4 linked regions of the Diceros bicornis minor genome follow. The protein of the gene in region 1 binds, or shares a complex with, the protein of each later gene. Links are inferred from orthologs where the notes say so. Each region holds a gene or a part of one and is shown in the gene's direction. Other genes may lie near its edges. The genes, in order: NUP107, NUP214, NUP85 and NUP188.

Evidence for each region.
Region 2: NUP107 (region 1) and NUP214 share a complex: the UniProt entries of both Homo sapiens proteins name them as parts of the nuclear pore complex. The link is inferred for Diceros bicornis minor from reciprocal best matches to the Homo sapiens genes NUP107 and NUP214.
Region 3: NUP107 (region 1) and NUP85 share a complex: the UniProt entries of both Homo sapiens proteins name them as parts of the nuclear pore complex. The link is inferred for Diceros bicornis minor from reciprocal best matches to the Homo sapiens genes NUP107 and NUP85.
Region 4: NUP107 (region 1) and NUP188 share a complex: the UniProt entries of both Homo sapiens proteins name them as parts of the nuclear pore complex. The link is inferred for Diceros bicornis minor from reciprocal best matches to the Homo sapiens genes NUP107 and NUP188.

What each region holds. Positions count from the first base shown.
Region 1 is NC_080756.1:2,509,775-2,517,298, reverse strand, and holds the start of NUP107 (nuclear pore complex protein Nup107), read left to right. Parts: upstream 1-4,507; 5' UTR 4,508-4,649; coding exon 4,650-4,657; intron 4,658-5,307; exon of another isoform or gene 5,308-5,485; intron 5,486-5,965; exon of another isoform or gene 5,966-6,113; intron 6,114-6,314; coding exon 6,315-6,406; intron 6,407-7,179; coding exon 7,180-7,266; intron 7,267-7,524. UniProt on the Homo sapiens protein: Plays a role in the nuclear pore complex (NPC) assembly and/or maintenance. Required for the assembly of peripheral proteins into the NPC. May anchor NUP62 to the NPC. Involved in nephrogenesis.
Region 2 is NC_080767.1:38,433,016-38,440,457, forward strand, and holds the start of NUP214 (nuclear pore complex protein Nup214), read left to right. Parts: upstream 1-4,440; 5' UTR 4,441-4,519; coding exon 4,520-4,564; intron 4,565-6,817; coding exon 6,818-7,013; intron 7,014-7,442. Other genes in the region: AIF1L (allograft inflammatory factor 1-like), read left to right, coding at 364-451. UniProt on the Homo sapiens protein: Part of the nuclear pore complex. Has a critical role in nucleocytoplasmic transport.
Region 3 is NC_080757.1:55,717,508-55,724,692, forward strand, and holds the start of NUP85 (nuclear pore complex protein Nup85), read left to right. Parts: upstream 1-4,185; 5' UTR 4,186-4,386; coding exon 4,387-4,419; intron 4,420-7,185. UniProt on the Homo sapiens protein: Essential component of the nuclear pore complex (NPC) that seems to be required for NPC assembly and maintenance. As part of the NPC Nup107-160 subcomplex plays a role in RNA export and in tethering NUP96/Nup98 and NUP153 to the nucleus.
Region 4 is NC_080767.1:36,691,654-36,699,346, forward strand, and holds the start of NUP188 (nucleoporin NUP188), read left to right. Parts: upstream 1-4,686; 5' UTR 4,687-4,705; coding exon 4,706-4,737; intron 4,738-7,693. Other genes in the region: DOLK (dolichol kinase), read right to left, coding at 2,665-4,281. UniProt on the Homo sapiens protein: Component of the nuclear pore complex (NPC), a complex required for the trafficking across the nuclear envelope. Required for proper protein transport into the nucleus.

The sequences.
Region 1 (7,524 bases):
AACCGACAGAAGAATAAAACTACTCCCCAAATATTAAAATAAAACTTAAAAAACCCAAGACCATCTCATATCTGAACAAACTGCTAATAATCTAAGTACTTCCTTTTGTTTTATATAAGCTGCAGTGTATCCTACAACTGTATTCAAAATTCTTCTATCTTTTGGACATGGAAAAAAGAATTAAGCACCTACCATAACTTAATTCACTAGATTCATATCTGACTCACTGGAATTCTTAATGAATTTATTAAAATATTCCTTTGAATTTCAATTGGACCATGCTATGAAAATAAGTTGCTTTAAATAAAACAATAAAATCATCTAGTTTCACCAAAGACAACCACAATCAACATTTGGTATGATCTTCATTCAGATTTTTTTTAAAAAGACTTCATTTTTTTAGAGCAGTTTTAGGTTCACAGCAAAATTGAGAGAAAGGTACAGAGATTTCCCATATACCCACCCCCCGTCCCCACACATCATAGCCTCCCCCCTTATCCACATCCCCCACCAGGGTGGAACATTTGTTATAATCAGTGAACCCACATTAACACATCACAATCACCCAAAGTCCATAGTTTACATAGGGTTCACTCTTGGTGTTGTACATTCTATGGGTTTGGACAAATATATATGACATGTATCCACCATTATAGTATCATACTGAGTGTTTTTACTGCCCTGGAAAACCTCTGTGATCTGCCTATTCATCCCTTTATCACCATGACCCCACCCCGGGCTTCAGTATTTCTTTATGCATTTTTACATTGTTTCTGAGCATAACGTTACATACTATATGACAACCTGTTTCCCTCATTTAAAGCAAAACAAACATTTCCAAATTATTACAAACTCTCTCTAAACAGCCTTTTAATGACTGCATAGCAGTCTATGATGTGGGCATTGGTTTATTCCCTCTCTGCCTCTGTTTGGTAGGAGTGAGGAACATCCGCCAAATGGCCACAGAATGTTTGGGGAACTGTAGTTGAATACAGCTGGAGTATCGAATTTGAGCTAGAGACAATGGCAAGACGATGCCAGACAGGCAAATGAGATGCTGAAGGCTGAGTCAAGTAGTTTGGAGTTAAAATTAAAATCAGGAGGAAACTGAAAGGTGAGTGACATGATCAGATTTGCATTTTTGGAAGACACTCTCTTAGCAATATGGAGAAAAAAGTGCAGTTGGAGGAGCTACAGTGAAGAGATGATGAGTCAGGCACAAGAAAGTAGCAGTGGAAATGGGAAGACAGATTGAAGATTTGGTAACAAAGCAGACGTGGGGAATGAGAGGAGAATCACTGATGGACCGATATTTATGAGATCAGCCCTGTGCTAACATCTGCCAATCCTGATTTTTTGTTTTGTTTTGTTTTGTTTGAGGAAGACTGGCCCTAGGCTAACATCCATGCCCATCTTCCTCCACTTTATATGGGACGCCGCCACAGCATGGCTTGCCAAGCAGTGAGTTGGTGCACGCCCGGGATCCGAACTAGTGAACCACAGGCCGCCGCAGCGGAGTGCGCACTTAACCGCTCACGCCACCTGGTCGGCCCGATAGACCGATATTTAAAGGGATACAACCCCAAGCAAAACAGATAAAGACGTCTACCCTTGTGAAACTTCAGTCCTATTGAGAGTAGATTCCAGATTTTTGGCTTGGGTAACTGGATGTCGCCACTTGCTAAGACGGCAAATACAGGAGGAGAGGTATGGTTGTAGTTGTGAGGTTGTTTCGGTGGGAAGTGAGGGAGGGGTAGGCCTGCTGGGTCCAAATTTAGAGTTAGCACACGTGACATTTCACATACTCTGTATCCTCAAGAGTGGGCACGTCCAGGAAGCAAGTGGGTGCAGTGAGTCTGGAATACAAAAGCAAGGCAGGGGTACAACTCCAAGCTGGGATCTAGTAGGAAGTAGATGGGCAGAGTTCTGGGGAAGATCAGTTGACGTTTAAGGGAAGGGCAGAGTTCAAGAGCCTACGGAGGAGACTAGTGGAGAGAAGCCAGAAGGAAGCAGAAGCCGAGTAAAGGCATGCCAGGGAGGGGCAGGAGGGTGGCAGCGAGGAGAGCGGTCTAGGGTGTCAAGTGTTCCACAGAGGATGGGGAATGAAAAACAAACTTCCACTGACAGAGGATCACTGGCGACCTTTTCCAGCAGTTTTCACTCAGCAGCGAGGGCGGAGGTCAGACTGCACTAGGTTGCACGGTAAATGTAAACGGAGACAAAAAGGAAGGTTACGCCTTCAACGTCTGCCTAAATTGAGCCCGATGTAGATGAATGATATTTGATATGATAAGACGCTCACACTGTTAAGTGAAAAAGCAGACTATAACACTCTTACAGTACGACCCCACTTGCTCCCCTACGGATTGCGGCGCAGCAGGCCACCCCGACAGAGTGGCGTCAGACACCATCAACTTGCTGGGCTCTGCGGGTCCACTGGACCCCACCAGGTGGTTCCGATGAGTCTCTCACGGGACTGTAGTCAGATATAGATAATGGAATCATGGGAATTTCTTTTTTAACAATGTATTTATTTTATTTATTTATTTATTTTATGAGGAAGATCAGCCCTGAGCTAACATCCATGCTAATCCTCTTCTTTTTGCTGAGGAAGACCGGCTCTGAGCTAACATCCATTGCCAATCCTCCTCCTTTTTTTCTCCCCAAAGCCCCAGTAGCTGTACGTCATAGTTGCACATCCCTCTAGTTGCTGTATGTGGGACGTGGCCTCAGCACCGCAGGAGAAGCGGTGCGTCGGTGCGCGTCTGGGATCCGAACCCGGGCCGCCAGCAGCGGAGCGCACGCACTTAACCGCTAAGCCGCAGGCCGGCCTGGGAATTCTTTAATTTCTCTATTTGCTTATGTCTGTTATCTTACCGTTCTGTAATCGCCACATCCATTGGATTTATGGTAAGAACACCAGCAAACAGCTCATCACAGTTTACCAAAACACAGGTTTGGCTGGGAAGAGCGCCGAGCAGAGACAGCTGGAAAGGACGCTTTCCTGTGAGGACGGAGGGTTAGGGGGCTTCTGGAACAGACACGCCGACCTCACGTGCCTCCAGGGCATCCAGTGAAACCCGGGCAGCTCCTGGGCAGCCTCCCGCGCCGCGTCCCTCCAAACGTTCATCAAGTGCCTGTCCTCAGAACACATCGGACAAATCCAAACTGAGGAACATTCTGGAAAAATTGGCCTGAACTCTTGGAAATATTAATGATTTAAAAGAAAAGTCTAGGGGACTGTTCCAAACGAGAGCAGAATACGGAGACGCGACAACCGACGCACCCCGCCCCGCCAGGTCCCGCGCTGGAGGGGGGCTCCGTACGGGCCGTTATCAGACAACGGGGCAGGTCTGAACACGTCGGTGACGGGACTCCGTCAGCGGGAGACGTTCCCGGCGCGTGTTTTACCGTACTGGGGGCACGACGTTTTGTCCTTGACTCGGGAAGTCTGAAGGCTTTGGGGTGAAGCGTCAAGACGGCTACAACTAACTTGCAAACGGCTCAGGCAAAAAAGGGGAGAACAGTCGTGGGGCGATGTTAGCAGTGGGGGGGGGGCCAGGGAGGAGCGCATCGACGCCTGTCGTGCTGTCGCTACAGCTTTCTGTAGTCTCCAAGTTTTCAAAACGAACAGTCGGGGAAGACAAGGTCACGTCTGCTCCCCTCTGCTGTGGGGGCGGGGGGGGCGCAGGAGAAGGGGGGCGAGCGAGGGGGCGCTCTCTCCACACGGCCCGGCTCGGGGCGCTACAGGGGCGCTGTGGGGGTGGGGGGGGGTGGGGGGGCGCTCGGGCGCCGCTTCCTGGCCTCTCCTCCAGCTTCTGAACCATTCCGTGGGCGCCGGACAGGCTTCTAGAACATTCTCTCCTCCTCCAGGTAGCCGCAGTGCATGTCAGGAAACGCAGGGCCCTACAACGAGGCTGGGATGTACACGACGCGCACCACACAGGAGTTCGTCCCATAGAGCTTTAAGGCGCTGACATGACTACATTTTGAAACATTCGCTGCGCGTGTGCTGACTGTGTAGACGTGACCCGGGCCCCTCTCCAACAAGCGCTGCACATGAACTAACGCTGGCCAACGCTTTGCCCCAAAGCTCGTCCTTGCTAAAGAGGAGCCCTTTCTCCTTAAGAGGAAGACACCCAGTGAAGACAAGGAGCCATCACGGTAACAGCTCCACAGACACGACGCACACAAGCGAGAGCCCCTGTCCCCGGCCCCGGCCCCTCTCACAGAGAACACCCGGAAGTGACTGCACGTCTTCCTGGACCGTCAGCCGACGCCGTTTCCCATAGGACACCCCGGCGCCGGGGCCACGCCCACACATGTCAGTCAGGCAGTGGCGGCGGCGCGTCACTGGCCCGGCCCTGCCCCGGCCCGGCCCGGCCCGGCCCCCCGCATCGTCTTCACACGCTAGCACACTTTCGCGCCTGCGCAGGTCGGATCTGCGGCTGCAGGCGGAAGAAGGTGCGCATGCGCTCGATGAGAAAGTTGGTCGCCGTCCCCCCTCCCCCCACGTCTTTTCTCTACGGCGGCTTAGCGAGGACATACTTCCGGGTCGAAGGATTTGCTTCCGGAGAGCGGGAAGGCTGAAACGCGGTGGCTAAGCTGGAGCCGAGACTGCAAGGCTCTCGGTGGGGCAGGCTGTAGCCATGGACAGGTCAGTTGCGGTGGTGACGGCTGAGCTGGGAGACTTGTCCCTCCTGCTTGTCAGCAGAGCGAAATAGGTGACCCCCGACGCGCAGAGGAAGCCGGGAGGGCCGGGTGCTGCCCAGGCCTCCTTCCCCGGCGGGGAGACTGCAGCCGGGGTCGGGGGGACACGGCTGGCCACAGTCCCCGCGTCCCCGCGGCGGCTCCGCCGTCTCTTGTGCTCTTTCTCCCGTTTCCCGCTCCTGGGGGGCGGGGTGGGAGGAGATGCTGCGTGCCCTGCGAGGTCCCGGCCAGTCGGCGAGAACGGGGACCGCAGCCCAGGCTTGCTGACCGCAGCTCCAGCAGCGGACAGCCACTGACTTGAGTTCTCTGTGACCCTGGCGCTGCTAGCCGCCTGCGACGCAGATGAGTTATGCGAGTTCTTGTGTGGTGCGGGAGACTACCGCGCAGCACGAAGTGAGAAGTGTTTCCTGCTGCGCTGTGGGGGGAGACGAGGGGGCGGTTTCAGGAAGACCTCCCAAAGGAGCCGACTTTCTAGTTGGTCTTTGAATGATAATAGCAGCCGACATCGAGTGTCTTAAACCCTTTTCGTGTAGTATTAGCTAATTGAATCTTCATACCAGTCCTATGAGGATGGGTGCTACGATCCTCTTCTCATAGGTAACACTGGGGCTGAAAGAGGATAAGGAACTGGGTCAAGGTTAGGAAGCTAGTAAATAGAAGAACCAAGTTGCCAGCCTGGCTGTGTGTCTGCAGACTGCAGGAGGCTGTTTGATGAGTAAGCAAGTGTTCACCAGGTGGGCCAAGGGGGCAAACATAGGCCCCGGTAAAAGAAAAGGTAAGAATATGAAACTGCATGCTTTGTGTAGCTGAATAGTCACATGCTGTATATGTTTGTATGGGGGTGATGTTTGTGACTGAACTGATAAGTTTGAGGTCAGGTGTAAAAACCGTGGACTTGAGTCTGTAGGCCAGAGGTAGCTATCTGAAGGATTGAAGTGGAGGAAAAGCATATTGGATTGTTGACTTAAAATACAAGTCTCCTAATTCACACAGTTTATTTTGTAGATCTTGGTCTGAGAGTGACAGGGGAGGGCTGAAGCATTGTGACCACAATAGTGCTGAGACAGGAGAACCCTCAGTGTACTCTGGGGAGAAATAACTGGAAGGATCATTTCTCTCCAGTTTACTAGAATTGGTTTTTTACTATCTTCCCATCTCACCAGCTCAAACAACAGATTTTTTCATAGTACCTATGGTTTGAAGTATCTTGGAGACTATAGGAGATCCTTTTAAGAGATTGTTCCTGAAATTTTAGGGAACTCCTCAATCCATCAGAGGAAAGATTGACCTTCGTGAGGCGGTTATCTAAAACAGTGTTATAATATAGATTCCAAGTGTTGAAATAATTCCAAAGGAGAAAATACCACAGTGAATGCCAGAAAGTCAGAGAAGCCTTTGTGCAGGTAAAATTGGAGAGAGACTTGGAGGGAGAAGCAGGATTTGGAGCCAGAAGGGTATTGTCAACAAAATGATCAAAGACTTGGCTCCTGGGATGATTTGTACCTTGACTGACTCAGGGTTCTTTGCTCCAATCATGATGATAAAGTTCTTTGCAAATGCTGCATTCTGATTTCATTTACATGAGCTTGATTATGCCATTTTAGGAGTGGCTTTGGAGAAATGTCATCCCCTGTGATCCGGGAGGCGGAGGTGACACGGACTGCACGGAAACAGAGTGCTCAAAAAAGAGTTCTAAGTATCCTTTGTGCTTTAAGCATCATTATTAAAAAAACTGCAACATGTTTGGAATCAGGATTATAGATTTTTTGTGTGTGAGAGGTATTAAACACTAGCTATAATAATAAAATGCTGTGGAAATTAGTTTTTTCAACTCTCCAGATATGTTATTTGGCAAATATAATGCTGAAATTCAATGAAATTAAGATTTATGTTTTCCTGAAAATAAAGATGTTCCATTTTACTGCTATCATATTGTGGTTAGCTTCTGCTGAGATTAGACATCTTTTTTTTATTTGAAATCTGACTGAGAACTCTTAGTTCAGTGTGTAGTAATCTTAAGACTGATATCTGGGGCCGGCCTGGTGGCGCAAGCGGTTTAAGTGCACGCACTCTGCTTCAGCGGCCTGGGGTTCGCAGGTTCGGATCCCAGGCGAACACCGACGCACCACTTGTCAGGCCATGCTGTGGTGGCATCCCATATAAAGTGGAGGAAGCTGGGCACAGATGTTAGCTCAGGGCCAGCCTTCCTCAGCAAAAAAATAAAAGAGGAGGATTGGCATCGGATGTTAGCTCAGAGCTGATCTTCCTCACACACACACAAAAAAGACTGATATCTGAGAATTTAAATCGTAGAGGGAATTATTTACTCTTGGCATAGAGAAAATGGTAGCCATAAAATACCTTGGTTTTGAAAAATGTATTCACATATTTTTTATAGTGTAAATATGGTTAGTTCTAACTTGAATGGTGTCTTTTCTGCATGGAAAACTTTCTTAACTCTTCCCACAGTTCGGGCATCCCAAGATGAAATTTTTGCCAATACTACACCAAGAAACCAGGGTATCCCTCAAACTCCCAGCTCATTTCGACCACCCTGTAAGGTTTTTTGCTTTTAAAGCATTTAATAAGAATAATAATAGCAGCTAACTCTTATAATACACATAATAAATATAACATTTGGTTGCAGTATCAATAATTAAGAACAATAACAATGATTGTAGTGACTATTTGTTGCACTCTTAACCATGTTTCAGGCACTGTACTTACGCAAATGCACGGTAACTATGACATAGGTATTATCTCTATTTTGCCAAAACTGAAAGTAAGACTTAGAGAAGTTAATGCAGATAACAT
Region 2 (7,442 bases), on another chromosome or scaffold:
TGGGAGGTTTTTGAAGATCTGAAGGGGTTTTGAGCAGAGCCATGGGCCAGGCAGCGTGGTTAGGAGAAGGCTCATGGCCTATAAGTCAATGATCTGGAGTCCCCTCCTGCCTTGGACTGCCTGTGTGGCTCTGAGGAGTCACATTGCCACTCTGCGTCTCAGTTTTCTCCTCTGTAAAGTGGGACTAGCAGCCCCTTCCACATTGCTGCCTTCATGGGCTTCCGAGAAGATTCCACTTAAGGATGGATGCAAGGGCATTCTGTTGAGAACCCTGCTGATGTGAGGGCTGGGATGATCTTTTCTTGGATGAGGGAAGGGGTCTTAATCCTGTTTTGTTTTGTTTTTTCTCCATCTCCAAACCAGAGTCATGATGTTTGAAGGGAAAGCCAATGAGAGCAGCCCCAAGCCAGTCGGCCCCCCTCCAGAGAGAGACATTGCCAGCCTGCCCTGAGGACCCCTGCCTGGACCTGCCCCGCCCTCCCTGCCCCTGTTCCTCCTCCTGATCTCGCTGCCCTCTCGACTCATTGTGATTTGTCTTATTTGTTTTGTTTGGTCCTTGTGCGTTTGTTTGTTTGTTTCATTGGCAGAATCAGTGATCTTTTTGTAAAGCACAAATTATCTGCCTTAAGGGGGCTCTGGGTGGGGAATCCTGAGTCTTGGGTCCCCTCCCTCTCTTCTCCCATCCGTCCCTTCTCCCTGTGCAGAAGGGCTTGACATCAAACCAAAAACCGGAGGGGCAGGGCTAGGACAGGGAGACTGGAAGCCTGTGATCCCCACGCTTGAAGCTGGCACCGTCCATCCTTCCAGGACGTCTCTGAGCTAAGTCCAGGCTAGCTGCCCTGGCCTGGGTGAGGACCTCAGCCCACTTATAGGAGACCCTGGGGTAGCCTCCTTAGGGTTTCCTTGGACAGCTTTGTTGTTCCAGTGCTCTTGTGTTGTCCAGGACGTGGCCACTCAGTGTCCCACTGCCCCACCTGATCCCCCCTCAGTCCACACTTCTTCTCATCCTCAGTGAGGTGACATAAGGAGACAAAGAGAGGGGCTTGGCAACTTGAGTCCTTCAAGAAGGTTCAGGAAGGAATCCTCTGGCTTGCCCCCTGGCCACACCTTTACAGGCAGCTCAGAGGGAGGGTGCAGCCTGCCGTCCCTTGCTGGGGCAGCAAAGGGCTTTGGAGGTAGAGGGGAGGCCAGGGGCCTTGAGGGGGTCAGCTCATCTAGTCCTACCTTTTATAGTCCTACCTTTTAGGGAGGATGCTGAGGGCATCCTCAGCATAGGAGATAGGGAGATAGGAGATATCAGCATAGGAGAATGAGGATTAAAATGCTCATGGCAAAAAGAGTCAACCCCACTGTTAAGCCAAGAGCTGAGAAATAGGAGGTTGCCTTTCTCATTCAAATCTGCTTGAAACCTGACTGCACTTCCCCCATTTGCCTTTCCACCTTACTCACACCATTCATTCATTCATTCATTCACTCAGTCATTCAACAGATATTTATTGACAACCTATTATAAGCTTTAAGTCCCCCTACTTTGTCCTGCCATGTGCTGTGTCCACTGTCTCGCTTACTCATCTCTCCGTTTCCAAATTGCCTAAAACCTTGAGCTTGGGGATTGGATTGGGGTCACCTGTGTCCTTTATTATGGACTCACAGGGTTTCAGAGCCCGGATCCACCCTGTAAGTTATCTGAGCCAGTCCTCTCATTTCACAGGCGAGAAAACTGTCGTGGTCCACAGGGATTAAGTGCCTTGCGCAAGGTCAGGGGTTAATCTGGAGCTGGAAGAGTCTGGACTGAAGCCCACGTGTGCAGATGCCCTGCCCATGCTTCATCTCTGCCCTGGGCTGTCTCAGTCAGGGATGAAAACAAGGGAAGGGGCAGGGAGGGGCATGCTCCTAGGTCAACACTTGAGGAAGGCCCAGGCCAGGACTCCCCCTTCCCGGTGCCCCCGAGTCAGCATCAGGGTTTGGGTAAGGACCAGGCCTGCCTTTGCAGTCCTGCCTTCCCTAGAGCTTCTCGGCCAAGCTGCTTCTCAGAACTCATGCAGGAAGGTGTCACTCTCGGCCCCATCTTGGCTGAGCAGGAACCCCAGCCTTGACCCCACCTGTGTTCTGGAGCCCCTTACCCTACTGGCTCAGAGATGCACTCATCCATTGAACATATTTATTAAGCACCTGCTATGGGTCAAGAGCTAAGAACCCAGTAGGGAAATAGACTCCTGGAATTTAGAGTCTTGTGGGGAAGTCACACCCAGACGATAATGAGTGAGATGAAGGTTAGGAAAGAGGGGGATATGAGGTGACTGCACTGCAATCCTGGGGGTACCTAGCTAGGCCCCAGACTGGGCAAGAGTCTTGGAGAAGCCTTCGCAAAACCTTAAGTGGAAAGGTCTGGGGACTGTTGGAGGTTGGAGCTAGTGTGGGCTCCCTGCAGCTCCTTAGTGACCCATAATCAAGGGCCCAAGGAGCGGCCCTTACAGCAGCTTGAGGGTATGGAGCCGGTAGGGGATGGGGAAATGGCCAGGTTGGGTTAATCTGCTGGTCTAAACCAGTTCAGGAGCAAGATTATTTGGCCATGACTGGCTGATCTTCAGCCTAAGGAGCTGCTTCAAATGCACAGGCCCAGCTGAAGTTTAAACCCCAGCAAAACATTCCTTCCTCTAAATGTAAAATTTCACCCCACCTCCTGCCCTCCCTTGGTGGTTTTTGTTTTTTCGCCTGAGATCCTTACATGAGCAACTGCCTGTCCCCACCCCTTCCCACTGCCTCTCCTCTCAGAGACCTTTGAGCAAGGTAAAGCCTTCCTTGACTACCCATCATAGTCTAGGACTGTTCCTCACTCAGAGAGGAGGGCAGAACCAACCAGGCTTATTTCAGCAGGTTCCACACTTTACAAGACTGCAGGAAGCCTCCTTAAGGGAGGAGAGCAAGTGAGTGTGTCCCCAGCTTCTGGAAAGGGCAGGAAAGAGAGTTCTCTCATTGGATGGGGGGTGTCCTGGGAAACCTTATCAGTTCCCTTCACCATTTCTCGGAACTCAACCCCTGGAGGGAGTGAATCTCAAGAGCGGTCCCTGGAAAGGGGGTCTGCATGTATTTCAGGTTGTGGCTATTGGCTCTAGGACTGTTCTCTGGCTAAGGGCTCAGCTTCTTAGAACTTCAGCTGTCTTCTTTCTGAAAGACCAAATCTAACTAATGTAACCAGCAACTTGGGGGCTGCCAAGTATGGCTTTGTCCCTGCAACTCAAAAGGAAGGAGTGTGTCGGGCAAGTTCAGGTGGATGCGGTATGTGTGTGTGTGTGAGTGTGTATGGTGCCGGATATCGTGTCTACAGACTGGAAATAAAACAGACAAACTTATCAATGTCTTCATTGGTGTATTTTGGGGATGGTTTGGGGCTCAGCAAATTCAGAAAAGCTATGTAATATAGTAACAGACCGAATGAATGTGTCCTGTGTGCTAGGCTCTCTTAAATGCTGAGCTTCATTTACTCCTCACAACAACCCCATGAGCCAGGTTCTACTATGTCATCCTTGTTTTATAAATGAGAAGCAGGCTTGGAGCAGATGAGCAGTTTGCTGACAACCAAACAGTAAGTGGCAGAGCATGGAGCTGACTCACCGGCTCCAAGTTAAGAATCTTTGTCCTAGAGCATTTATAATATAATTCCACTACAAAAACCTCTACGTAGGACTGTCTAATAGTCATCAACCAGCAGATCCAGAGAAGCTGAATTCTCAGGCTGCCTCTGCTACTTTCTGACTAAGGGGCACTGGGGAATTTTCTTAACTTCTCTGGGCTTCCAGTTACTTCATCAATTAAACGGCAATGATGCCCCTAGGTGACTAGGATGTCTTGAAGATTACATAACACATCTGAAGTGTTCTGCGGTTTCCAGGGTCTTGCCCTGTAAATGATAACCTTGAAAGGAGTAAACAAGGCTGACCTTTGGTGCCTTTTAACCTCCCCTTTCAGCCTTCGTGCTTAGACACGTGGAGAGGTCCCACCCCGCCACCTTTCTGAACCTCTTTTCCTCCACACCCCCCTCCAAACCTCTCTCAAGAGCCGCCCCTGGAAATATCTGTGAAGTAGCGGGAACTATTAACCACCTACACCCCGGGGTTACTGTGAAGTCTCCAGCGAACAAACGGAGCGCTCGCGCGGGCGCCCGCTGCCCAATGAATGAAACCAACTCGAGGCGAGCCCGCGCTGAGCGCGAACGCGGGGGCGGCACGTGGACTCTCCCGGGCGCGAGCATGGGCCCTGGGGCCACGGGCCCTACTCGGCCGAGCCGGCCAATGGGAGGCGGCGGCCAGGATTGCGCGCGACTTCAGACGGGCCCCCAGCCTCCCTCCACCACGCGGCGGACGGAAGCGCGTGACGTCAGCACAGCGCGCCGGAAATGTGGCGTTCGCTGCGCGCCGCTAACGCCGAGGAAAGGAAGTTGGCCTCGGGGCGGTCTGGGCTGTGTGGGCAAGGCCGCGGGCGGCAGCGGCGGCTGCTTCGACCAGCTGAGGGCGGCACGATGGGAGACGAGATGGATGCCATGATCCCCGAGCGGGAGATGAAGGTCAGAGACTGGCCGGGGCCTCCCTCCCTTGCTTAGTCGCGGCGTTGCCTTGGAGCCGCGCTGAACGGCGAAGCGCGGGTTCTGCCCCGCCTCCGGCTTGAACAGTTGCCGCGTTCCGAGTTGTCACCGGCGCGCCCCGGAGCACTCTGCCCCGCCGCCGGCGTGGAAGCCCCCCCGAACGCAGTTTCCCCGCCCCTTGCTGCTCTTGTGCGCGCCACTCGAGTTACCCTGGCTCCTGTCACGTGGTGGTCGGAGGCGTGGCGATAACTACCGTGTGTTGAGCGATTACTGTGTGCCAGGCACTGTGATTACCGTGTGGTGATCATCACAGCAACGCCGCGAAGTAGTCGTTAATGTAGAGGAGCAAATGGGGCTCGGAAAGCAGCTTACTCAAAGTCACATTTGACAAGGCGGCTGAAATCCAGGGATGTCTTGTTTAAGAGCCTCTCTTCTTCACTCGCACGGTACCACCTCTGTAAGGTGGGCCAGGCTTGCCTAACACAGAGCTGGGGTTCGTCACCTGTCCTACAAAACCTTTGGTTAAGTGGAATAGGAGGACTGTTCTGGTGCTGGGAATCAGCCAAAAAAGAGGGTCAGGTGATCCAAATGATGGTTATAAACACCTGAAAGGGAGTGAATTGCAGGAAGATTTTAGGCGTTTGAACAAGAAATCACTGAAATGTGTTTTGGGTGGTAATCCATACCGTATTTAGAGTAGTGCTTCTCTCTTCGTTCTTGAGAATCACTGTGGGTGAGCCACCCAGTGAGAGTGTGGCGTTTTCCTCAGAGATGCCGAGGTGGAAGGAAAAAAAGGTTTTAAAACCACAGCCTTTGAGGATGATAGTCTGCCTTTGAGTTACTGATTATAACAGAAAGGAGAGCTCTGCTGTACCTCTTCGTCCCACTGGCTCCCTATGCCCGTGTGACTATGACCCAAATAGGAAATTTGGGATGATCAGGATGAGAATGACAAAGACTGAAAATTTTATTCTACTGTATGAAACCACAGTATGGTCTCACCTGGAAAGTGGTGTGAATTTCTGATCACCGTACTCAGGTGGAGTTAAGAAGGGTATTTCCTTTAATCTTTTAGCAAATATGTATTCAACATCGAATCCAAGGAAATTAGTATGTGGGGTATGTTAGGGGTCCTGTATGAAGCGCCATAAGTACAAAAATGGAGGCTGAGAAAAACTCTCTTTGGCTTTTACAGTTTTGGAATGTAAGCAAAAGGGGATTCACATTTTTTTCACCAAAACTTTGACTTGAAGATAGGTTTGGAATTGAAGGAAAAAAACTGTATATAGTACAACTTAACATAGTGATTGGTAAACCTAGGGAACTCTGTTACCGGGAGGTGGTACACACTGAAAATTGTCTTTGAAAGCATATAGGTAAGTTCATGGAAGACTAGGTGAGTCAGGCATTGACAGATCGGGGAAGGCTCCCAGGCCCTGAGGCCCTTGAAAATGGAAGGAAATGAAAACTGATAGTGGGTGGGGGTTGGAGGTGTGACAGTGGGTGTGGCAGAGGTGATGGCACACTTGTGGGAGGGAAGCGGTGTTGTGAGGTGAGGCTCTGTAGGTGGATGGGTCAGCCCCTTCCTGGCCTTATAGCCTGCCTGAAGGGTCTTGGACTTGTGTTTAGATGTCTTTTAGCATCTAGGTATGTTTATAGGACTTGAACACCAAGACATTGACCATACATATCCTTTTCTGTGATGGATTTTTTTATCATTTGGTGCAGGTAAGCCCATTCTTGGGATCTGGTTCTTTCTGTGGTCATTATTTCCATATATATATTTATTGAGGGCTGCACTGGAAGTTCCAGCTTACAGCAGAGTTGGAGAATGCTTTCAGTATTTAACAACAGTTTGTTAAGCATTACTCTGGGTCCTGAGCAATGCATACCATGAAATAGGACAAGATTATAAATAATAAAGTGCAGCTTGTGTGGTGGTTTAGGACAATAAGTTAACTAGGAATTCAGAAAAGATCAGTGTGAGCTGGATTAGTCAAGGAAGGCTTCATGAAAGAATTTTGAAAGTTTTATTTCATTCAATAAATACTAACAAGCAGTGTGCCAGGCACCACACTATGCATAGGAAACTTAAAAATGATTGAGCCACACAGTCTTTGGCCTCAGGGTAGTATATCTTTTTGTTGTACTGGAATTGGGTCTACTGGAATATAATGACAGACATTTAATTTCCTGTTTTCCCTAAATTGGTCTTGTTTTGATCTCTCACAACAGGATTTTCAGTTTAGAGCACTGAAGAAGGTGAGAATCTTTGATTCCCCTGAGGAGTTGCCCAAAGAACGCTCAAGTCTGCTTGCTGTGTCCAACAAATACGGTCTGGTCTTTGCTGGTGGAGCCAGTGGGTTGCAGATTTTTCCTACTAAAAATCTCCTTATTCAAAATAAACCTGGAGACGATCCCAATAAGATAGGTAAGTTACTTGCTTTGTGTCGGTAGTAGAGAGAGGAGTGTGGTGAAGTGTGAATGTAGTTTCCTTCCCAAGAAAATCATTCCAGTATTAAAATTAAAACTGCTGTTAGTCCTAAGGTTGACCCCCAAGGAGAATAAGTTCCAGGTAGGATGCTGGAAGCCTTTCAGGGTGTTCTCTTTGGTCCTTTGTATTTCTCTTTCAATGAGTTGTTCCTCTGAGCTCAGGGGGAAGAAGAATTTACCATTCTGCCATGCTTTTGTTTTCGCTCAGTTGAAGTTGGGTTCTGGCTCTCTAGGAGAAGGATTTTGTTGCATGGCTTTTTAATTAACACAACAGTCCCATCCAAACAAATGGGAATGTGTACTCTTTAGACCATTGTTGCAAAAATATGGGTACAGGACACTGTTTTCAACAAGGGCAGCAGCCACA
Region 3 (7,185 bases), on another chromosome or scaffold:
ATCTGCCAATCCTCTTTTTTTTTGTTGTTGAGGAAAGACTGGCTCTAGGCTAACATCCGTGCCCATCTTCCTCCACTTTATATGGGATGCTGCCACAGCACGGCTTGCCAAGCGGTGTGTCGGTGTGCGCCCGGGATCCGAACCGGTGAACCCCAGGCCACCGCAGCACAGAGCGTGCACTTAACCTCTTGCGCCACCGGGCCGGCCCCCTTAAATTGAAAATTATGTAGTAAACACGCTAAAAGATAACTTTTGTCTGATTATTAGAGTAATAATACTCATTCCTGCCAGCCTTTCTTTCTACATATTAATAGATACATTTTTTACAAAATTGAGAAAATTTTTAACAAAATTTTACTGAACTTTGTAAAATTTTGCTACAATTACCTTTTAATGATTGTGTAGCATTTCCTAGCTGTGAGACATTTATTTCCTTTTTTTTTTGGTGATTATTCAAAGTGTCCTTCTTGGTTATTCCCTGGAAGTGCAATTATGGAGACAAAAAGGTGAACATTTTAAAACTTCTTTAAGGGGTCAGCCCAGTGGCGTAAAGGTTAAGTTCGCATGCTCTGCTTTGGCGGCCCGGGGTTTGCAGCTTTGGATCTTGGGCGTGGACCTACGTGCCACTTATCAAGCCATACCGTGGCGGCATCCCATATACAAAGTAGAGGAAGATGGGCACAGATGTTAGCTCAGTGACAATCTTCTTCAGCAAAAAGAGGAGGATTGGCAACACACGTCAGCTCAGGGCTAATCTTCCTCACCAAAAAAATAAATAAATAAATAAAATAAAACTTCTTTAAAGATTTTTCCATGTTCTTATCAGTCTTCAGAGTTCTAAATAGGTGAATAATATCTCATTGATACATTTACTTAGCTGTTCCTCTATTCCACTCTGGTTGAGCATCTATGCCAGTAGCTCTCAACAGAGGTGATTTTGCCCCCTAGGGGACACTGGGAATATCTAGGGACATTTTTGGTGGTCACAATTGTTGAGGGGTATTAATGACATCTAATGGATAGAGGCCAGGGATTCTGATAAACGTACTGCAATGCAAAAGACAGCTCTCATAACAGAATTATTTGGCCCCAAATGTCAATAGTGTGGAGGTTGAGAAAATTTGTTGTTGTTATATATAGCACGTACCAAAATTCATATATCTTTTATATTTTGAAATTATTTGAAATAAATTTTCAAGAGAGGATTTACTGGGTCAAACTATATAAATATTTGTATGGCTCTTGATAATAGATTTCTACCTTGTTTTCCAAGACAATGATGTCTCTTGAAAATGATTATGTATTTATTTCTCTGCAGGGTAGGGAGCATTAGTTTTACTGGGATGCATTAAATGCATCCACTCAGCACTTTACATAGGCCACATCTCTAGCACAGTTCCTCTGGCTTGATCTGAGAATGATTTTAAGTTTGACTTTGGAGTGACTTAAAGTGATTTTTTTTTTTTTAAGATTTTATTTATTTATTTTTTCCCCCCAAAGCCCCAGTAGATAGTTGTATGTCATAGCTGCACATCCTTCCAGTTGCTGTTTGTGGGACGCGGCCTCAGCGTGGCCAGAGAAGCAGTGCGTCGGTCCGCGCCTGGGATCCGAACCCGGGCTGCCACCAGCGGAGCGTGCGCACTTAACCGCTACGCCACAGGGCCGACCCCGAGTGATTTCTGGTTTGACTCTTGTACAATAGGTATGTTTTTTTTTAATTAATTAATTAATTAATTATTTTTTGTGAGGAAGATCAGCCCTGAGCTAACATCCGTGCTAATCCTCCTCTTTTTGCTGAGGAAGACCGTCTCTGAGCTAACATCTATTGCCAATCCTCCTCCTTTTTTTCCCCAAAACCCCAGTAGCTAGTTGTACGTCATAGTTGCACATCCTTCTAGTTGCTGTATGTGGGACGTGGCCTCAGCATGGCCGGAGAAGCCGGTGCCTCGGTGCCTTGGTGCGCGCCCAGGATCCGAACCCGGGTCGCCAGTAGCAGAGCGCGTGCACTTAACCGCTAAGCCACAGGGCCAGCCCGGTATGTTTTGTTTTAGATTTTTATTTGATTCCAGAAATATTTTACTCTTTTTGTCTTCTTAGGGTTCTGATATACCTCAAGTGAAGTGTCTCCTGCATAACTGAAGACTGGCCAGAGTAGATACAGGAATTCCAGAGTTAAACCAACCAATCTAGGGAGAGGAGGGGGAAGAGAGAGGAGAGGAGATTGTGTAGCACAGGGAAGAGAAAAAGATTTGTATGCTGATTATTTAACTTGTTTTTCCAAATGTATTCCTTTAAGATTATCTGTTTAAAAAAAAAGGATAAACTACTTCATTGAAACCCCATTCTTGGAAGTCTATTTGAGAAGGACTAGAAGGAAGAAAAAGGTCTATATATAGAATAATAATAGCTCTATTAGCTGTAGTTTTTCTTTTTTCCCTCTATTAATGAATATATTCAAATGATTGTGTAAAGTTGCTGGTATATCATGGTCTTAGACCAAGAATATTTTCAACACTTTTTTCCAATATTATCTAGCTCTAGGTCAGACAATTTCAATACTTCTATTATCTTCAAATGGCAATGTCAGTCATAAAATATCAAGAAACTATAGTACTAAAATTTTCCAAGCTCTTTTGTCATTCAAATTATTTTTTCTCAGGTCTCCTTTTGAGAAAGGTGGTTTTTCTTTTTGGTCTTTCATCCTGTTATTTTTTTCCTTTCCTTCTATTCATCCTGTTCCCCAGAATAATTTTCTCTGAAGGAAATTAGGCATGATTTCTATCAATGTCTATTAAGCTTGGCTTTCACTTCTGCTGCTCAAAGAATTCTGAATAGCCAGAGCAGATATAATAAACAGTTTTTAAAAACTGATTTATCTGCTACTGAATGTTTATTTTACTTTTGGAAAACGTTAGCCCTCTTTTTACCCCCTAGAAAATGGACATGAATGCATAATTTCTCATACTTCATAGCCACTCCACTGGTATCAGAAACAGCGAAACTTTTGGAAAATGCAGCAAGACATAGATGGTGGAACAGTATGGAGTTTTGTGCAAAACTACACTAAATTTCATACTATGGATGGCGTCTTCAGAGATAAGGATTTGGATAAAACTGTAATAGCCACAGAATTTTCCTTCCTTTACCTCACAAGAACAAACTACTGAGGTGACAGGATTTTCTCAACTACTCCAAGTCATCTTATTTCTACCAATTCAAATAGATCGTTCAGAATCGTCTCAAAGAAAGAAGGGTTTCCCCAGGTAAAATACTGAAAATTTGTCGTTTTCAGGTCAAATTTCTTTCCTAAATAAAAGCAGCTGCTATATTTTCAGGAACTGTTTCCTAAGACTTATTTTTTTTTTCTGAAGACAAATCTGAAAATTTTTTTTTCAAGTTTGTTTTTATTTTTTTAAATTTTTTGTTTATTGCCGTAACATTGGTTTATAACATTGTAAAAATTTCAGGTGTACATCACCTAAGACTTATTTTTAAATTTCGAATTATCTTCAGTTCGTTCAAAAGGTGCTTATTTGGGAATTTAGAACCAGTACTGTTCTCTTCCTTGTATGTGCATGTATTTGTAAATATGGCATTAACAAAATAAGTAACTGCTTTAAGTTATTGGAGCACTTTTGAGTTTTCCATAACAAGGTCTGGGATTCCCTGATTTGAGTTTTTTTTTTTTTTCTGTTTTTCTTTAGTGAGACAACAAACCAATATTTGCGTTTAATTAAGCAAGCCCAGCTGTCTCAGTTTCAGTTGGTTAAGCCTCATCAATTTTGTCCGCGTGCCTCTTGAGCGTTTTGGGGTAGGCGTGGCGGCGACTGCCTTCCTACAGAAGCCCGATGGACAGACGCAGCTCGGGAAGAGGTTCGCTTGCCCTGGACAAAGCTCTGACAAGCGGCCGCGACGACGCTAACCAGCAGACCAAAACGAGCAAAGAAACCCAGCACCAGGACACTCGTCGGACTCACTCACGCCTGGAAGCTCCGCTCTCTCCCAAGAACGGCCGCCCAGCCCGCGCACGCGCAGCCGCTCCCGCCGTCCCCGGGGCGGGGTGGGGGTGGGGGTCTTCTCCCGGCCCCGCGAGGGGCTGTCCGCGGCGGCGCCTGATCTGGCGGGAGAGGTACTGTGAGGACAGGCTGCCCTGGCGCAGTTTTCCCTGACGTGTTGTCGAGGCCAGGAAGGAGGCACACGTGTAGAGTGCCTCAGAGGGGTAGCCATGGCCGAGAGGAGAGACCCCTGCAGCGTCGGGGGTTCGGGCCCGCAGGCAGTGCAGGAGGCGCTCAAGCGGGGGTCCTCCCTCGGGCGAGCTCTGAGCGGGAGGCCAGAGCCAGGAGCATTGGCGAACCTGCGAATTCCAGGTGGTTGAGGCGCGGCGCTATGGAGGAGCTCGATGGCGAGCCGACAGTCACTGTAAGGGCGTCTGGAACAGTCTTGCTTGCGCTCGCGGTGCGAGGATTGAGTCTGCTCCGTCCCTGCCGGCTTATCTACCTCCCTGCCGCTCGAGAGGCGCCCCGTCCCCTTCCCTCAGCTTAATTGCCGCTGTCCGGGGGTCATATTAACTAGGTGCCTGTGTTTGGGTCACAGTGATCGCTGGGTTTCTGCTCCTTTGTATACTCAGAATACCTGGCCCCGGAGCCCCCACCTCATCCCTCTCCTTTCCTTGTCTGTCTTCCCTACCTTCCTCCTTCCCTCGCTTTTCCTCTTGGGCTAATGCTCTAATGAATGGGCTCGGACCAAGCAGAGGAATCCGGGCTTTTTTCCTCCAGCCGAACTAAGCTTCACATCGCAGCGCCATTAGCTTGGCTTCTGCTTGTAGTGCCGTGCTGGCCCGAGGTTTATCTATCTCTCGGGAGTCTGTTCCTGTTTTTATTGCTCTGTTTGCTTTCAATTTTATTTGTACTCTGAAGAGAGTATGTCAAGTGTGAATGATCTATGATGTTTATAAAGAGATTCATGGCTTTTAGATACGAGATATCTACTGTTGCCCCTGTCTGGAATGCTCTTCTCTCTTAGGTTTATCTCTTGTTCACTTTTCAAATGCAAGCTCCAGCAGCCTCTTGCTCAGGAAAGCCTTCTCTGACCTCCCTGACTAGGTCACATATCTCCGTCTCCCCGTTATAGGCTGGTTCTGCACCTCCTAGCTCTTGGTAACCTATAAGCCCCACTAAACTGCAAGTTGCCTGACCTTGCGTTTTTGCTTTTTAGAAAGTTGAAATGCCTACAGTTTTCAACTAAAGGCATCACATTGCAAAGCAGTGTCTGACAAAACCGGAAATTGAAAAAAGGGTCATTTCAAAGCTAACTGGATGAAAGGAGACATAAGATCTTAAATAACAGTTAACATGGGTTGTTACTCTCTGTAAAGCTTACTGCTATAGAGTGTGTTAAATTTTAAAACATAAAGAAAGTACTTTAAGTATTAAATATCCATCAAGGACTATGTCAGTGTTTGCAGGAAGAAAAATTAGAATATCAGAATCACTGGAACTTTTTCAAACTACATGTCATCTTGCCTTTCCCTCCTCCTCTTACATCATAATCTGGTTGGGGAAACCTTCCCAGTACGCTGTGCAACACTGGAGAGCCACTACTTTGATAATGAGCCATGCATTTACAAGTGGAATGAAGATAATCTAAGCTTATTTTTATCCCCAGTAGTGATGATTGATTTGTGGTAACCCAGCTCTACGCTGGTATTGGGGAGACCAGGTAGGAAACTGGTTGGTCTTGTGGGTACAGCCTCACAGAGGGGTATTATCTTGGTAGAACTCCATAGTCTCGAGTCTGAACCTCAGCTCTGCAAGGTCAAACTCGGTCATGTCTGTATTTGAGAGTTAGTCTGCTCTTTGGACTAGAGTCTGCTCTACACACTCGCAAGAGACTGATGTATAATCCTACCATTAAGTCACCTTTTGTAGTGGTTGTGTCTGTTCTTCATGCAACTGCTTCCTATTATCAAGGCACATGAAGGCTAGTTAGTAATTAGCAGATTCAAGGATGTTTTAAGTATAGATTCAGAGTAGAGAGTAGAATAATCTAAAGTAGTTTTTCTAGACCTTATCCTTTTGGTTCAAAGACTCAAGAAATGTAAGCTGCAGTTTTTGTTGCCTTTTTTTGTGTGTTTGTTTCTGGATAACTACCTAGAAATGGAATTGCTGGGTTATAGGACAGGTGCATATTTAGCTAAAATAAACTATCAGTTCTCCAAAGTGGTTATATCATTTTTTTTTGCACCAGCAAAGTGTGAGAGTTCTAGTTCCACATCTTTGTCAACTCTTTGTATGGTCAGTCTTTTTAATTTTAGCCATTGCCGTTCTAGTGGGTATATAGTGGTAGCTCATTATTATTTCCATTTGTGTTTCCCTAGTGATGAAAGATATTGAGCATCTTTTTATGTGTTTACATGTCATTTGTATATCTTCTTTGGTGAAGTGTCTGTTAAAATCTTTTGCCCATTTTGTTATTGGCTTTCCTTTTTTTTTTTTTTTTTTTTGATGAGGAAGATTGTCCCTGAGCTAACACCTGTGCCAGTCTTCCCCTATTTTGTATATGGGATGCTGCCACAGCATGGTTTGATGAGCGATGCGTAGGTCTCTGCCGGGGATCCAAACCAGTGAACCCTGGGCCGACAGAGCGGAGTGTGCAAACTTAACCGCTGTGCCACTGGGCTGGCCCCTGTTACTGGGTTTCTTTTTTTTTTTTTTTTTTTTTTGTGAGGAGATCAGCCCTGAGCTAACATCCGCCAATCCTCCTCTTTTTTTCGCTGAGGAAGACGGCCCTGGGCTAACGTCGCTGCCTATCTTCCTCCACTTTATATGGGACGCCACCACAGCATGGCTTACCAAGCAGTGCGTCGGTGCGCGCCCGGCATCCGAACCAGCGAACCCCGGGCCGCCGCAGCGGAGCGCGCGCACTTAACCGCTTGCGCCACCGGGCCGGCCCCTGTTACTGGGTTTCTTAACGAATTGTAAGAGTTCTTTATATATTCTGGCATCAAGTATGTGTTTTGCAGATATTTTCTCCCAGTTTGTGGCTTGCTTTTTCATTCTCTTAACAATATCTTTACAGAGCAAAAGTTTTTAATTTTGATGAAGTCCAGTTTATAAATTTTTCTTCTATAATTTGTGCTTTTGGTGTCCTATTTTTGCTGACTTTACAGTCAGAAAGATTTTCTTC
Region 4 (7,693 bases), on another chromosome or scaffold:
GATGAGAGCCCTGCTGAAAATCACCCCAGGTCCCCCAGCCCAGCCTGGGGAGGGTTGCCTGATTTTTATACCAGTAAGTAACATTTCGTGGGTGCTCACCATGCCGAGAGCTCCACGTGCCTCGTCTCACTGAGTCCTCACTCCTTCCAGGTCTGGGCTCTCACCATCCACATTTACAGGTGAAGAAGCTGAGGCACGGGGAGCCCCAGTCACACAGCTGTGCAGTTGTTCAGCAAGGGCAGCCGGATCCAGGGCCTGTGCTTCTAACCTCTCCACTCCTGGGCCTCCTTGCTTGCGGAGGAGAAAGACCGGGACTGGGAATCCAGAGTCCCATATCTGGTCCTGGCTCTGTGACCAACTTGCTTTCTGGCCTCAGGCCAGGCCCTTCCTCTCTCTGGGTCTGTTATGCAACTTGCACAATCGGGGCCAGACGAGGGCCTCTTGCTTGGGCATGCTTGGCAGGCACCCAGACCTTCTGCGGGAATGACCACCAAATTGAAAACCTGCTTAGCTGGAGCCTGGCCTGGAGGTTGCAAACTGGGCGCCACTGGCTGATTTCAGACCACAGATGTGTTTTGTCTGGGCCTCAACATTTTTATGAAAACTTTTTAAATTTGGGAGATGTCACATAACAATCCAGGTCTGTAAGCTTCCTTGACTGGGCAGGTCAACCACACTGGGCCTGTGGTCTAGCATGGTGACGACTGGCTGGAGGTGTCCCCTTAGTGGCACGCGTCCTCTCTGCTTCCCACTTCCCCTGTCCTCCTTTGTGGCATTACCTGCCTGGCCTCAGCAGCCATGTAAGTTTGTGACCTTGATTTCCAGCCCCCACCGTCTACGTGGACAAACCAAGGCCCAGAGGACAGAGGCCTTTCCCAGGGCTGCCCAGGGAGTCAGTGAGGCAAAACTGTGCCCTCCTCCAGCGTTTTGCTGCCTCCTAGGCAAGCCGTAGACGGCAGCCTGAGAGAGGGAAGGGTTTCTTAAGTCCCCTCTGAGCCCCAAAGGAATGTCCTCTCCAGGAAAGGGCTTGGCAGTCATCCCCCGGCAGAAGCAAGAGCTCCCGAAAGCTCCGCTCCTGGCTTCTGGCCTTGGCGGGCCAAAGTTCTCACCTCTTCCTGCTACGCCCCTCCCTGCCACGCTGGGTAAGAAGGGGGCATAACTTCGTCCAGCCTCAGGAAACCTGCTCTGCTATTTTCCCACTGATGGGAAAGGTTCATCCATTCAGGAAACGTCTACTGAGTTCCTGCTACATGCCAGGCTCTGCTGGCACCAGGGGATGCGGTGGTGAACCAGGCAGACCCAGACTCTGTCCTCACAGAGAGCAAGGCTAGAGCATGGCCCCCCAAGTAGAGCTATTCTGACCTCTCAGTAAACTCTGTCAGCTCCCTAAGCTCTAATTTCTTGACAAGAGAAGAGACAAACACAGGTTTGGACAAGACTGGAGTGTGAGAGGGTCTCAGGAGGGACCCCTTGACAAGGATCCTGTGCTGTCCAGCCGGTCTTTCATCAGCACCACTCAGCCAGGCAGCAGAGACACTGAGGCAGGGGTGGGGTTGACTGAAACAGGAAGTCAGCCCAGAGACTGATCCTCTTCCTTCAGCCCTTCCACACACGCAACAAGCTGATCCCACCTCTCCCCTTCAGCTCTTCCTAGTCCAAATGGGAGAAACCACATGCACTTGGCTCTTTTCCTCTTGGGTTCTCCTGCAAGTGAAGCCAGGGGAGTAAGGTTCCTCTGTCTCCGAGGACACCCCAGAAACTCTCTAGCTTGCCTGGCTTTTTGCTGAGATGAGGACTGGCCTTGAGTAATCATAACACTTTCCCTTACTGATTGCTCACGATGTGCAATCACTGGGCTGGACATGTCATACACCTCACCTCACTGGATCCTCACACCACCATGTGAGGTGCCGGCTCTTATTATTCTCATCTTGCAGACAGAACTAAGCCCCAGAGTGGTTAAGCAACTCACACAGTTGAAGAAGTGGTGCAGCCAAGGATTCTGACCAGATTACCTTGACAGCAGAACCTGCAGTGTTAACCATTACGCTCTCCTGCCTCCAGTGTCCACTCCGGCCTCCTCTGAAGACTGCAAGGCAGGGGACGGGGGGCTACAGCACACTCAAGTTCTTTGATTTGTTGCAATATTCTTTAATTAAGCCTTTTTGCTTTTTATTTTTAATTTTTTTGTGAGGAAGATCAGCCCTGAGCTAACATCCATGCCAATCCTCCTCTTTTTGCTGAGGAAGACCGGCTCTGAGCTAACATCTATTGCCAATCCTCCCCTTTTTCCCCTTTTTCTCCCCAAAGCCCCAGTAGATAGTTGTATGTCATAGTCGCACATCCTTCTAGTTGCTGTATGTGGGATGCCACCACAGCATGGCCGGACAAGCAGTGTGTTGGGACGCGCCCAGGATCTGAACCCAGGCCGCCAGTAGCGGAGCGCGCACACTTATCCGCTACGTCACGGGGCCGGCCCCATTGCTTTTTAAATATTAGCGAAACGAAAACCCGGTGATCTTGGATTTTTATTTTGAATCTGAATCAACTGAAAAATCAAATCTGCTTCTCACTCCTTGGCTCTTCATGCCCAACTGTCTGGCTGCTGTGGGGACCATTCATCCTCCCCTTGGCCCTGTTTCCTCCATCACTGCTGCACAGCAGCTAGGCCATCAGCAATATCAGGAGGTAGAGAGGCAAAAGGAGATTGTCTATCTGTGTAGTGTATGCTTCGAGGAGGGACACGATGCTGATGGACCCCAAAATCCAAGCATAACTGTAGTTCAGGTCTACTCCACTGTCAAAGATTAAGATCAGAGCTACAGAAATGATCTGGGCAAATATAGACGTCATGGTCCCCTCAAAGGTCTTTTTGGTTCCAGGCCAGCGGATCTCCCCCATAGCACTGCCGAAGATGGAGGCCACCGTGTCACCCACACCCACGGCCAGGACGCCTGCATAGGGGACTAGGGCCCTTGCTCCTCCTAGACTACCCTTCTGTGTGCAGGGTCTGGGGACTAGCCAAACGGGAAGAGACACGCCAAGGAGCAGGTAGATGTGTGTCAGGATGAGCGGTCCACTGTCTCGTTCATCCAGGAAGAGGGACAGGAGGCTCCGCAGAGTGTGGCCCAGGGGCTTGATGCGGAAGTAGCGTACATACTCCAGGAAGATGAAGACTGCCAGACATACGGTGGCGGCCACGTAGAGCAGCGTCCGGTCAAAGATGATACCTGGGACGTAGGTGGCCACTACAATGAAGTGGAAATACTTTCGGGCAATGGTGGGGGCCTGGTGCTTTTTGGACTCAGAAGATGAGCGCTTGGCATTCTGGTACAGCACCACCAGGCAGGCCAAGGTGGCCAGCAGAGTCCAGTAGGCTAAGAGGTAGATGCGGGTGTTTGTCTGGAGGAGGAATTGAAGAAGCCAGAGCAAGGGGTTCCTGCGGATGAGCCGGTGCAGCCAGGGCAGGACCACACCCAGACCCAGCACACAGGTCATGAGGTGGAAAAATATGGAGGAGGCCCAGGTACCTGAGTCCATGAAGACAAAGAGGGTGCTGAAGAAGATGCCCATGAGCACCATTCCCACTACCACCACTAGCAGGAAAAAGTCCACTGGGTCCCCCTGGCTTTCCACCACAGTCAGGGAGCGCTTGATGAGCTGGTTGAGCATGAAGCTGATGCCACCCAGTACCAGCAGTGCCTCCCCAGGGGTGAAGCAGCGGGGCAACAGGTACAGCAGGATCATGTTGAGATAGACGAAGATTAGCAGGACCTCCAAGACCTCGATCACCTCTCCCACACTCAGTGAGTGCTTCATGATATATATGATGACACCTCCAGCCAAGCCCGAGATGACACAAGTGTTGGTGGGCACCGGGCGAGTGATGCCCAGCGCCAACACTGATGAGAAGAGGGCCACTGCCATGCCAGTGGCTGCCACCACAATTCCAAAGCGTTCGAAGTATGGGTTCCCCGCAGACTGGCAGCGCTCCTTCATGACCAGTCCGAGCAAAGGCATGACCACTGAGGTGGGCAGTAGGCCACTGTTTGCGGACGTTCGGAACTGGAAGACAGCGCTCCCCTGCTGTAGCAGCCGGTCCCACTTGTACTGGACGTAGAAGGCCTGCACTGCGAGGGCTACGGCGCACCACGAGTATCGGTCCCACACGGCCGCGTGGATGCTCAGCACCACTGCGAACACCACTGCCGCCTCTGCCAGCACCGACCCGCTCAGCGGAGCCCCGGTTCCCGGGGCCGGGGGAGCGCAATCTCGGGTCATGTCTCTAGACCTGGGACCCCGGGGAAACCAGGGTGATTAGGGACTCCGTGGACTCTGGGCCCCTCAAGCCCCGCCAGGCAGAAAGCGGCAGCTTCACCCAGCCAGCACCTTCTCTCTCCGTTCTCCAGCTGCGAGGAGGAAAGCTCCACTGTAGGCCACTCTCTGCGGCCCGGGTGCTGGCGCCCGGTCACCCCTCACCGCCTCTCATCTACGTCGCAGACGTCGCCATTCGGCCGCCTTCCTCACAGCCTCGGCCGCCCTCGCCGCAGATTCCTCACCTCTCAGGGCAGCGCCATCTTGGCCCCGCCCCACCATGCCATCACGTGATGTAAGGCCCCGTCCACGCGCCAGCCGGGGGGGGGGGTGGGTAGGTCACGTGGGCGCGGCGTCTGGGGGCGGGGCTGGGGCGCGCGGGCGCGCGAAGATGGCGGCGGCCGCCGGCGGGCCGTGTGTGAGGTGCGGAGCGGGCCGAGTTGGCGGGGGTGGGTGTGAGGCGCCGAGTCCTAGCCGAGCGGAAGCGGGGCGGGAGTTGGGGCGAGATGTGGTGGCGGCGGCGGGCGAAGCCCGGCTAGGCGGACGGGCGCCGAGACGGGAGGCGGTTACGTCCAAACTGTCCCGGCGCGCGGGGATCTGAGGTGACTTCTCCGAGAGGCGGGCCGGTGCCTCACCCCTTCGCTCGGCGCCGGCCTCCTGTCTCCTCGCTCGGGCCCTTTCTCTCCTCCCCTGTCCCCGCCGGCGCGTCCCTCGGCGCCCCCCCGCGCTTCCTCGTCCGGTGTGACGCTCCCTCGAGGCGCCCCGGGGCACTTCGCGGTCGCGGGGAGCCCCCGCCCCGGCCCGCCGCCGCCTCCTGCGCTGCCCGGCGGCGCTCCCCGGGTCCCCATGTGCTCGTGCTCGGAGTCGCCGAGCCCCTCCGGGCAGTTCTGCTCTCCGTCCTCGCGCGGCCTTCCATTCATCCGTCTGTTCCTCTCCTCGTGCGTCGGTTCCGTCCGCCAACCTGCCCGCGTTCTCGGGGAGGCCCCGGCGCCGTCCTGGGCTTGGGGACAGGGGGTGAAGTAGAAGCAGAAAGAGACAGTTGTTACTTCCAGGGCGCTTCCGAGCGCCGGCCCCCGCGCATGTCCCTGGAACTCTCCCGACTCCGTGGGCACCTTGGGCTTCACCGATGGCTCGCGGGTCCGGCTCAGAACTGGCTGAGCGGTCAAGCGAGCGTCCAAGCCCGGGTCCGAGGCTTTAACCCGATCCCCGCACCTCCGTCTTCCAAGTTACGGCGTGAAGCGTCGCCCTTCTCCCTGCCGCCCTCCCTCCTGAAATGAGCTAAACGTTCCTGTCGCTTAGTGCTCCCTGGGCCCGCGGTGTTGCCCCGCTTCGTCTGTTTCGCCGCTGTATCCGCAGCCCCCAGAAGAGCGCGTAATAGGCTGCCAGAAAATATTTGTTATGAATGTTGCTCGTTTTATCTGATGGCACTTCCTTCACCTCTCAGCTCGAGGTTTTCTTCTCCGGAATTTCCATTGAACTGCTTCTGCACCTTGTGAGGACCAGTCTGCTTTTTCCGCCTCTGCTGTTTCATGTCAGCTCTCATGTTGGGCAGCATTGTGGTCACTGTGCCCTCCTTTTCTTAGGCTTAGTTCTTAGTCGTTGGGGAGTTTGGGTCAAGTTTAGCTCTTGCAGGGTAAGGCGCGTTCTTTGATGAAAGAGAACAAGGGAAGGAAGGCATTGGTTTGCCTGAAAGATGCTTTGATCATCCCGGGGAACCTACCAAACTCATGCCTGACTGCTTTGCTCCTAGCCCCTGTTAGGAGAATGCACTTTCTTTTTGTGCTGGAAGGCTCCTTACAACGACTGGGGTTATACTGAGCAGCAGCCTTCTGTTTGAAATGCTTGGAGGTCTGGACTAGGAGAAAACTGAAATTCTGTTCCTGCTGCCTGCTGATTTGCAGATGACCGCAGACAGGCCAGCTTACCGTTTGAGCCTGTTTCTCCAAGTATTTCAGAGTAACGGTGAGGTGGTTCTGAAGCATGTAGGGAAATCATTGTGAAAAATAGAGTAATATCCTTAAATCACTCAGGGTTTTGGGAAAGTCAGGGTTTTGCAGAAAGTCAGTTTGAATATTGACATTTTTGGATGTCTCTTAGTGTGTGTTCTTCAGTTAGTGTGTTTGTAGAAGTCTGAGTGGTGTACGTGTGTTAAAAAGACAACTGTGGTTTGAAAAGGTTACTGCTAAGCTTAAATCTCAATTCATGCAAGAGAGTCATACTTCATCCTTGGAGTCAGGGGATCCGTGGGCAGTGGGCACTTTTATTTATCATCTCCATGGGGAATATCACCATGTTTCTCACAAGAACTATCTCAGAGTAGGTTGGCTGTGTCTCAGCCTTCTTACCAAAACGACTCAGTTGTAGAGACTTATTCCTAACCTAGAAGCTTTCCCCCAAAGGTTTCCAACCCCATGGATCTCTCTAAGGAAGATAGCTTCCAGTTTCTGTTAACTCCAGCTCTTTTAGGAATGGAGTTCCATGTTGTCTGCTAGAGCATTGGACTGGAAGTCAGTAATTTTGTGTGTGTGTGTGTGTGTGTGTGTGTGTGAGGAAGATCAGCCCTGTGCTAACATCTGCCAATCCTCCTCTTTTTGCTGAGGAAGACCGGCCCTGGGCTAGCATCCGTCTCCATCTTCCTCCACTTTATATGGGACGCCGCCACAGCATGGCTTGACAAGCGGTGCGTCAATGCACGCCTGGAATCCAAACCCGCGCACCCTGGGCCGCTGCAGCGCAGCGCGCACACCCAACCGCTTGGGCCACTGGACCAGCCCCTCAATAAGTTTTTTAACTTTACTTTTGAGGCGAGTTATTTAGTTTCTGTGCCTTAGTTTCTCCTGGAAATACTTAGCTCAGATTTATTTATTGTGCAAATAAATGAGCGATACTGTAGCAGTTAGTTTGTTTCTTGAAAATACGTGTAGAAGATGTTACCCTGAGGCTTTGGATTGGAAAGCACAGTTCCATCTATGTCTGTTGTATCTTGAGAATCACCTGCTCAAACCTTCAGGTCCCAATTTGAGGTGAAGTTTTCATTGATCCCTGCATTGGTTCCCAGTGAGCTCTCTCTTCTCTGACTCTTTTCTGCCCCGTGTGGTTATATTCCTTTGTGGTGTGTAATTGTTAGGATCACGCCGTTTATTACTTTATACTTTTTTGCTGATTGTGTAATGTGTGTTTAACATCCTTTGTCATTCGCAACAGTAAGCTTATGAGCATTGTGATGGTCTTAGATTTGTTTGTATTCCTATTATTCCTAGACCATAAATGTGTAGGAATTGAGGAACAAGTAACACTCATTGCCACAAGGATTCCCTTCCTGGTAAACTACAATCTTCTCCTTCATTTTGCCTTCTCTTGAGACTTCTGCATATAATGA